2 linked regions of the Ovis aries genome follow. The protein of the gene in region 1 interacts with the protein of each later gene in a biochemical or structural test. Links are inferred from orthologs where the notes say so. Each region holds a gene or a part of one and is shown in the gene's direction. Other genes may lie near its edges.

The links.
Region 2: the proteins of NGF (region 1) and NGFR form a complex in vitro, tested with the Homo sapiens proteins (2 studies listed by BioGRID and IntAct, with this or other methods). The link is inferred for Ovis aries from reciprocal best matches to the Homo sapiens genes NGF and NGFR.

The regions. Positions count from the first base shown.
Region 1 is NC_056054.1:92,707,036-92,711,530, reverse strand, and holds the start of NGF (beta-nerve growth factor), read left to right. Parts: upstream 1-1,687; 5' UTR 1,688-1,783; intron 1,784-1,903; exon of another isoform or gene 1,904-1,936; intron 1,937-4,495. UniProt on the Homo sapiens protein: Nerve growth factor is important for the development and maintenance of the sympathetic and sensory nervous systems.
Region 2 is NC_056064.1:36,834,799-36,838,601, reverse strand, and holds part of NGFR (tumor necrosis factor receptor superfamily member 16), read left to right. Parts: intron 1-1,284; coding exon 1,285-1,426; intron 1,427-3,803. UniProt on the Homo sapiens protein: Low affinity receptor which can bind to NGF, BDNF, NTF3, and NTF4. Forms a heterodimeric receptor with SORCS2 that binds the precursor forms of NGF, BDNF and NTF3 with high affinity, and has much lower affinity for mature NGF and BDNF.

The DNA.
Region 1 (4,495 bases):
CTAGGTGTGTTCCTCTACCAGTTTGTATCTGAACAACTGAAGTGGATAAGCCTTTGCTGGGAAATAACGAGGTCATATCAGAGCTGAAGCTCCCTTCCAAGCCTGAGGCTTTCTTCCTACCTCATCCCTCTCAGGTCAATGGGTAAACCTAGGTATGGGGGCAAAGACAAAAACAGAAAGAAGTGGTGACCTCAGATCGATCTGTGTCAAGTGCCAAAGCAGAGCCTCCCCTTGTTCAAGTGCCCTCCACTGGGGAAACAAGGGCCACCTCTGTACTCAGAGCAGGAATCCCTATGCCTCACTAAGTCTGGCCCCCGTGGGTGACCTTCACATTGATTGCGGTGGCATGGCTTCACCCATAAAGGGAGACTCTGTCTCTCCCTCTCTCTCTCCTCACATGCCTTCCTCCCTTGTGGTATCAGGTAGAGTAGGGGTTCAGCATTCAATTTGCTCAAGAAAGAACTGAAGAAACACGTCTCCAAGCTCAACACCAGAGGAGTTGGTGGAATGAATTTCCAAAGACATATGAATCCCCCAGAACACTATTAAATTAATGATGCACATTTAGTGGGAATCTGACTTTGGGGATATTTCTGCCTTGCCAGTATGGGTCATGGGTCAGACATGCTTCCCCCGTCAAGCTCTGACTGCACAGAACCCAAGAAATCTTGGAGGGTGATCCAGGAGATCCCATCCCACAGAAAGCACAGATGGTGGAGGAAAAGAAGAATTTGGGTAAGGCTTGGGGTGGGGTGGAAGGCTGTCTTCCTAGGTCAGTTTAGTCACAAAACTCTTGCAACATAGATGAAAGCTGTGCATCCTCTATCCAGAAAAATGCAGGCATCACACACAGACCAACATGACTACAACTTCAGAAGGATCGATCGGGCTTCCCTGGTGGTGCAGAGGTTAAAGCGTCTGCCTGCAATGTGGGAGACCTGGTTTCGATCCTTGGGTCGGGAAGATCCCCTGGAGAAGGAAATGGCAACCCACTCCAGTATTCTCCCATGGACGGAGGAGCTTGGTGGGCTACAGTCCACGGGTCGCAAAGAGTCGGACACCACTGAGCCACTTCACTTCACTTCACTTCACTTCAGAAGGATCAGGGACTCCAGGAAGGAAGTTTCCTGAGTCAGGGCCTTTAGTGAAGCCTCTGATTCTAGGTCCTGATGCCTAAGCACTCTGCACCTTTTCTCTACAGAGGACTTGCCCTTGCCCGCAAGGGTCTTCTAGGGGGATACGGTTCTCAGGGCCACAGCCCTCCCTTGTGTCAGAGAAGCCTCTGCACCTTCATCTTGCAGAGCTCCCCTGGGTGCGCTTTTTCTCCCAGGGTGACAGGAGGCGTCCCGGGAGAAAGGGGTCTCTGGACTTGTCTCTTGTGGCTGCCAGGAGCAGGAGGAGCAGAAGCCTAGGGCAGGGAAGGTGACGACCGACGGGGAAGGACACTCCCGCCGGGCTCCAGGCGCTGGCTGCAGGCAATGCTGAAGGAAAGCGTGGGGAGGTGGGGGGCGGGGAGGTGCGTGGTCAGCCGGGCAAATCCACCCTCCCCGAACTTGTCGGCCCGTGGGCGTCGGCAACCAGTACCCCAGCCTGGTGTCTCAGAAAATCCCCAGCCAGCCGGGTTCTGCGCGAGGCCCCTCCAACCGCGTGCGCTTCCTTTTGACCTCTGGAGGGTTGAACCCCTCCCAGGCCGGGTCCAGTCAGCCTTCCCGGGGCAAGATCGACCAACCTCTCTCGTCCCCAGGAGCCCCCGCTGGCGGGCACCTCCGCCTGGCCAGAGCAGGTGCGGGACTGGGGCCGGGGAGGGTTGGAGTGGGGGAAAGGATTTGGAGTGGGTGACTCAGGGAGGAGGGGCTAAGAATTCAAGAAGCTTGTGTTGAGCAGCTCGGCGCTCCGGCACAGCAGAGAGCGCTGGGAGCCGGAGGGGAGCGCAGCGGTGAGTCAGTCTGCCCCGAGCTCAGCCCGAGAGGGGTGCAGCGCGGGCACGGGCGCGGGCCGGCGTGGCTAGGCTCCAGGGGGAGGGTAGGCAGGGATCGCGGTCTGGCGAGATCTCCGGGCACCACCGCCCCAGAGGTCCCGCGGGCTGAAGTGCGGCGGTGAGAGGAGCGTCCCGAGTGGGTGCGGGAGCGCGGGAGCCTCTGCTGGCGGGCGAGTCGTGGGGAGTAGCGCTCTATCAGGTCGTGGAGTTTCCGATCTCCCGATGGATGGTCGGAAGTCCGGGAGGCAACCCGGGCGCCTGCAGTCGCGGCACCACGGTGCCAGAGACTAGCTCGAGGGTTAGAAGGGGGACAGCGCGCAAGCGAGGGAGAGTAAAGGAGCGGGGCGAGAGGGATGCGCGGGCTGTGAGCGCTCCAGGACAGCAAGAGCGGTGGTCTGCACCGCGGAGGGCGAATGCGCGGCGAGCGCGGGCTGCGGTGTGCGCCCAGTCTCGCGTGGGCTACGCTGTCCCCGGGACGCTGCTCCCAGGTATCGGGACGAACCCGGCAGGGGGTTCTGGACCTGGTGCAGCGAGTGGAGCAGGGTCGCTGGAGGGTTGGGAATCCTGAGTGATGGCTCCAGGGGATGATAGAGGAAGCCTGCTGATCAGCCTCCATGGAAGGTCCTGCTACGTGGGTCACACGCCTCACCTCCAGCTGTCTGCTGCCAGGTGTAGAAGTTGGCATGAAGGGGTGGGGCGGGCAGCGCCTTAGGTCCAGGCGGCAAAAACCCGGAGGAGGGAGAGACAGGACTTGGGGTCAAGGAGCGGCATCTTTGAGCAATCATAAACAAGCGGCTTCACTCAGATTACAACTCTCCTTTTGCTTTCCAAAAAATAAAAAATTCTGAGATTCTCATGGAAGGTGTTTTCTGCTTGAACTTTCTCTTCTCTAGTGACTTGAGAGATTTAAAAAGAGCGTGCTTGCTAGGCTGGTTTTTCCAAGTTGTTCCAGGTTGGAAGTTGTAACAGTTTGTCGGATAATTTATGGGTGTTTCATGCATTAAAGTGTATTACTGCAAAGCCTTTGGGTGCTATGGGTATTAAGGAAAACTTAGTGCACGTTCCCAGCTGGAAACCAAAATAGGACTCTCCTGGGTATCTCTGCCCCCTCTGTCATCTGAGGCCAATGGAAATCCTGGAGAAAAGGCACTTGATTAATTGTTCTGGCTCCATCCTCTGGGCGCACCCACTACAGTGCCAACCGCCCCCACCCCGTTCCCCACACATGCACGGCCAACTACATTCTTAAATTCAGAAAGGGCAGGGGCAGACCCACCAGTATCTTCTCTCCAGGGTCTTCAGACTCTTGAAGCAGTCGCTTGAGTCTGCCGGAGGGGACTGTTTCTCCTTTTCAGTGTGGTGCCGAAGGACGACGGCCGCTGGGCCCTGCCAGCCCTTCTTGCGCAGTGTTTGCTATTTCCTATCCAATGTCTGAAACTTTCCCCTTCTGAAGACCCACTGAACAAGGACTCCATTTGGTCAGGAAGGGTCTCTTTTGTGGCGAAGTCATAGGTCAGCCTGGGCAACCCGAATGTCAATCCACCACGGTCAGTGTTCCCGGACATTGAGGTAGCTGAGGACTGGGGTTGGAGGGTGAGTGAGAGCGGTCTGGGGTCTGAGGCTGGCCCTGCTGGTGTTGACTCAGAGAGGAAATGAATGTTGCTCAGACTCTGGTCCTTGAAGGGGGTTGGGATTAACATCACATGCCACCAAAATCCTCCCCAGGCTTTTGCCAATGTTTTTGTGCAGGTAGGGAAAAAGGGCAACCTTGAAGGGAAAAGTGTTAGGAGGCACCAAGGGAAATGGGGAACCACGGTCTCGGGGACTGGGGACACAGGTATGGATAGGACTGTAGAAGCATCTCAGAGGATTTTATAGCAGCTGCTAGCGCCATGCCATCCCTGGACAGCCATCTCACCCTAAAACTCCCCAGACCCACGAGAGAATTGGAAAATTGGCTCCACTCGGGGCAGCCATCCTAGTACTAGGGACTTCCCATATCCTTAACCTTTGTCCACAAGTGGGGTTCTCACCTTCTCCTACTTCCCACCACAGATCTACTCAACCTGGAGGGGCAGAAGGAGCAGGGAATGAGGCTTCACACGCTCCTCTTCCAGAGAAAAATCTGCGCAGTGTCCAGGAAGGGGGCCCCAGCTGCCGACATCAGCAGGGAGGGTAGGGCACGGCAGGGCAGGGCTGGAGCCCGAGGGAAGTTTCTCATCATTGCTGAGATTAAACTGATGAGAAAATCACACAACTTTCCTTTTAAATGAGTGCTGAGCACTTCGGCTGCACATTCATGGAGTGCCTTATTTCAGTGGCAACTCCACTGGAGCCACAGAAAATGACACTCTGCCCTCAGCAGGCGGTGGAAGGCTTGCTGAGGACTCATATAAAGTCTGGATATCTATGAGCAAACAACCCACGTTCCCAGAGGGTTTCTCTTTCTTTGACTGGCACCTCTGAACTTGCAAACCATCAACTAAACTGTCAGCTCCTAGGCTCAGCCAGTCCTGA
Region 2 (3,803 bases), on another chromosome or scaffold:
CTACCAGTCTCTTGAGGACTGCAGGCTGCCTCCTAGACTGATCCAACCTGTCTATCCCCCTGCCTCCCCTGAACCCTAGTGAGACCTCAGGACAGTTGAAAGGACTGAAGGGAAAGGAGTATTGGGAGCCATTCTGGCCAATGTGGAAGCAAGGAATGCCCAAATGATCCTTACGGCTCCTCTCTAGTCCCATGACCCAAGAGCCCATACTTCCTCTGAGTATCAAATGGGAACTGCGTGGTCTAGAGCCAGGGAAACAGGCTGTGGAGTTTTATTAGACGTTAAGATTTTTTTCAAGGAACAGAAATATAAAGCAATCTGCCAGCAGCCCCTCCCTCTAGGGAATCTGGTGCTAAATCATTCCATCCATGAGCAAAGATGCCTCGGCAGCAAGAATCTGACTCCCCTTTCCGCTGTTTGCAGTGTTGTTCCCACTGACTGTATGGGGGCAGGGAGGAAAGGGCTGGTGGCTGGAAATCAAACCCTGGGGGAGCAGGGCTGCTGGGTGGTGAGAGCAGCCACTTTCTCATTGGTAACAGGCGCCCTTCCCCCCCCCCCCCCCCCCCCCCCGTCTTGGCACCAGAGTCCTGATGATTGGCTGTTCATTTGCTTTGGCCCTGAGCTGTCTCCGTCTCTTATCTGTCCAGAGAGATGAAAACTCTGAGAGAAATGAGCAGGTCGGAATTCCCAGAGTGGAGTCAGGATTTGAACCCAAGGTCCCATCCCTCTGCCTTTTGTTCTTGGGTACAGACACCTCCCATTTGATACTTAATATATGGAATGGTAGGATTAAGGACTGAGAGTAGAGCTCTGCTAGGCTTTCTTAGAAAAAGATTCTCCTCAGGGTAGACGCAGGTGTGCAGCTTAGCAAGTGGCATTTGGGCTAGATTTCAGCTTCAAGTTGTCCCCTTGGCTGGGAGCCCTGAGCAAGCTGCAACTTGGCTGCTGGTTCCTGACCGCCGCCCAAAGGCCCTCTGCTGGTCCTCAGGTTACCTTCCCCACATGGTGTATCCTTGGGATTCCAGGAGTTACTGTAACCCCAAGGTGAACTTTGCAGAAGGTCAGCATCCGAGGCTCTGATCTCACAACCCAGCAGCTTGCAGGGGTGTGCTGTCCCCCTGCCCTTCTTCCCTGTCAGCTTTCAAATGCCAAAGCCTCCCTGGTGAGCTCATCCCAGGCCAGGTGGTTCCAATAGAAGGCTTTAGGAAGGGGTGTTTGCTCCCTCAGAATACATCCTGTCCCCTTTCTCTTGCCAGTCTGACCTTCTGATCTTCCCCCATCCAGGTGTCCCTTGGAGGTGCCAAGGAGGCGTGCCCCACGGGCCTGTACACCCACAGCGGAGAGTGCTGCAAAGCCTGCAACCTGGGTGAGGGTGTGGCCCAGCCTTGTGGAGCCAACCAGACCGTGTGTGAACCCTGCCTGGACAGTAAGTAGAAAGTGTCTGGTGGGGGAAGAAGAGCAGAATGGAAGGGAGAGCAAGGGGACTGGCGGGCATGCCCAGTAGAGGCCTTTCAGGCGCTCTGGGTTCTGGCAGGAACTCCTGCCCACCGCCGCATGGGTGCCATAAGTGAGTCTATGGATGAGGGAAGTATGCAGAGGGAGAAGGGGGCCTGATGGGGGATGCCCAGGGGGTGCCCGTTCCCAGCCCCCAAGTAGAGAGGCCTAGTAGAAGAGTGTGGCTAGGTGGGAGGAGTAGCTGATGCTAAGATCAGCTAAAAATATCATCTGCTGTGCAAAATCAATGGCTGCCACTTACCCTCGGTGCATTTGGGGGGAGGGGAAGAGGATCAAATCCTAGCTACCCTGGAGACTGACCTTGGGGGATCCTGGGAGGGTGTGGCTACCAACACCCATCAGCCCCCAGCACCTCCCACTACCCAACCACCACCACCACCCTGCCCCACCACTGCTCTCCAGGGCAACTGTACTCCAGTCCTGACAGAGGAAACAGGGTTTTCCCCAGGCTACAGGGATGGGGGTTGGAGCATTACAAGGATGTCCTTACTGGGGAGTGATGCTGGGTGCATCAGCGGGGAGGGGCGCTGTGGCCATTCCTACCTGGGATTTCCTTGAGGAGGGGAGAGAACCCCATCTTCCAGAGGTGCTGGATGAGGTGGTGGGTCTGTGATCTGAAATTCTGTGCCCTTGTCTCATCTCTGATGGATGCCCCCCGCCACCAGCTGCTTTCAGGCCATGAACCCTTTTCCTGACTCTGTCTGGAAACCTTTCCTGTCGACAGTTAGGTCCTGCCTTCTACCTGACACTCCGTGCCCCCCGGGGGGCCAGTGGGAACTCTACTCAGATTGTTCTTCAATCATGTTGGGACCAGGGTATAGGAACTGGGAACTCTGGATCCGCTTGTCTTACCTTGAATGTCTTGCCACCGCTGCCACCACCACCACCTCCAGGCACCACACTGCACACAGCATCCCTCCTTCAGGCAACCCCAACTCCTTGGTGTCCCAAACACAGCTTTCCTATTTCTGTGCTTGTGGATCCTGTAACTCCATCCCCCAGCAGAGGGATGCCAGGTAGGGAAGGCTAGACATCCCTTTGCTACCTTGCCATCTGGGTACCTCCCCTGGCCCTAGCCTAACAGGGTTTCTATCCCAGGGCAGGACTAGCCAATCACACTTGCCCTGGAATCTCCCATGTTTTCCTCTCATTTCCTAGACTCTCACCCAGGACCTTTTCTCTTTGGACTGTAAGTCTCCCAGGATGGGACCCTAATCCTTCTGTCAAAGCAAGGGCTGGGATACAGGAGGCTGAGAGAGGGCATCTCCAGGGAAGGGGAGGGGAGACAGGAGCAGAGAGGGAGCTCAGAAATCCCACTTGCTCCCTCCACTCCCCTCCCTTCCTCTTCTTCTCTCACATTTCCCGCCCTCCCCCAGCTGTGTTAACAGGCTGCCTTTAAAAGTCTACTTTATGGGATGGAGACCCCAGCGGACTTTCCCTCTATCCTCAAAACGTTTCCACAAGGAAACCCATTAAGCTCCTGCCTTCATTCTCTGCCAAAAAAGACCACATTTTTCCCACTCCCTAAAACTCTCTCCTAGGAGTTCGCTGCTAATTTTCTATATTTTCCCATAAGCAGGGCCCTCTCCTTCCCTTCCCATGTGGCTAGACCCACCCCACTGCCACATGCCAACGAGATAGGAGCTTCTTGTATAAATTGGACATCTTGCCTTTGCTGTTTATGTTTGGAAGTCCTTTCTGTTTGACTGTGCCTGCTACTGAATTTGTCATTGCCCACCCCAGGGGCCCAACTGTTACAGGATCCCTGCTGTGTGTCAAGTGCTTTATGGTGGAATTTCACTTATTCCTCACCAAAACCCTGTGAACGGAGACATTATTCCCAGTTTTACAGAGAAAGAAAAAAGCTCAGAGAGGTTAAGTAAGACACCCAGAGTCACACAGCTAATAAAGTGATGGAAGCAGGTTTTGAATCCAGATCTGCTCGATGCCTAGGAAGAGAAACACAGGAGTTGCTCTGCCAGAAGTGAGTTGAAACTGAAGGCTCCCTCCAGGCCCATCTCTATCTTTTCTTCTCTCCATCCACCCCGCCCCCCTCTCCCAACTGCTGCCCCTTTCACTTCTCTCTGCTTTTTTCCTTCTTTGCTTCTCCAGCCCTAATCCCAACCTCTAAGATAATGACCCTGTGCTCCATCTTGTGTCTGGATGCCGTTAGAGAAGGTTAAGATAGGACCCCCACAGCAAGCCCCAGTTTCCCTCCACTGGGATCCTAATCTGCTACCTCTGCTTCCGCATTCTGAGCTACCGTCTTTCCCCAGTTCTCAGATCCT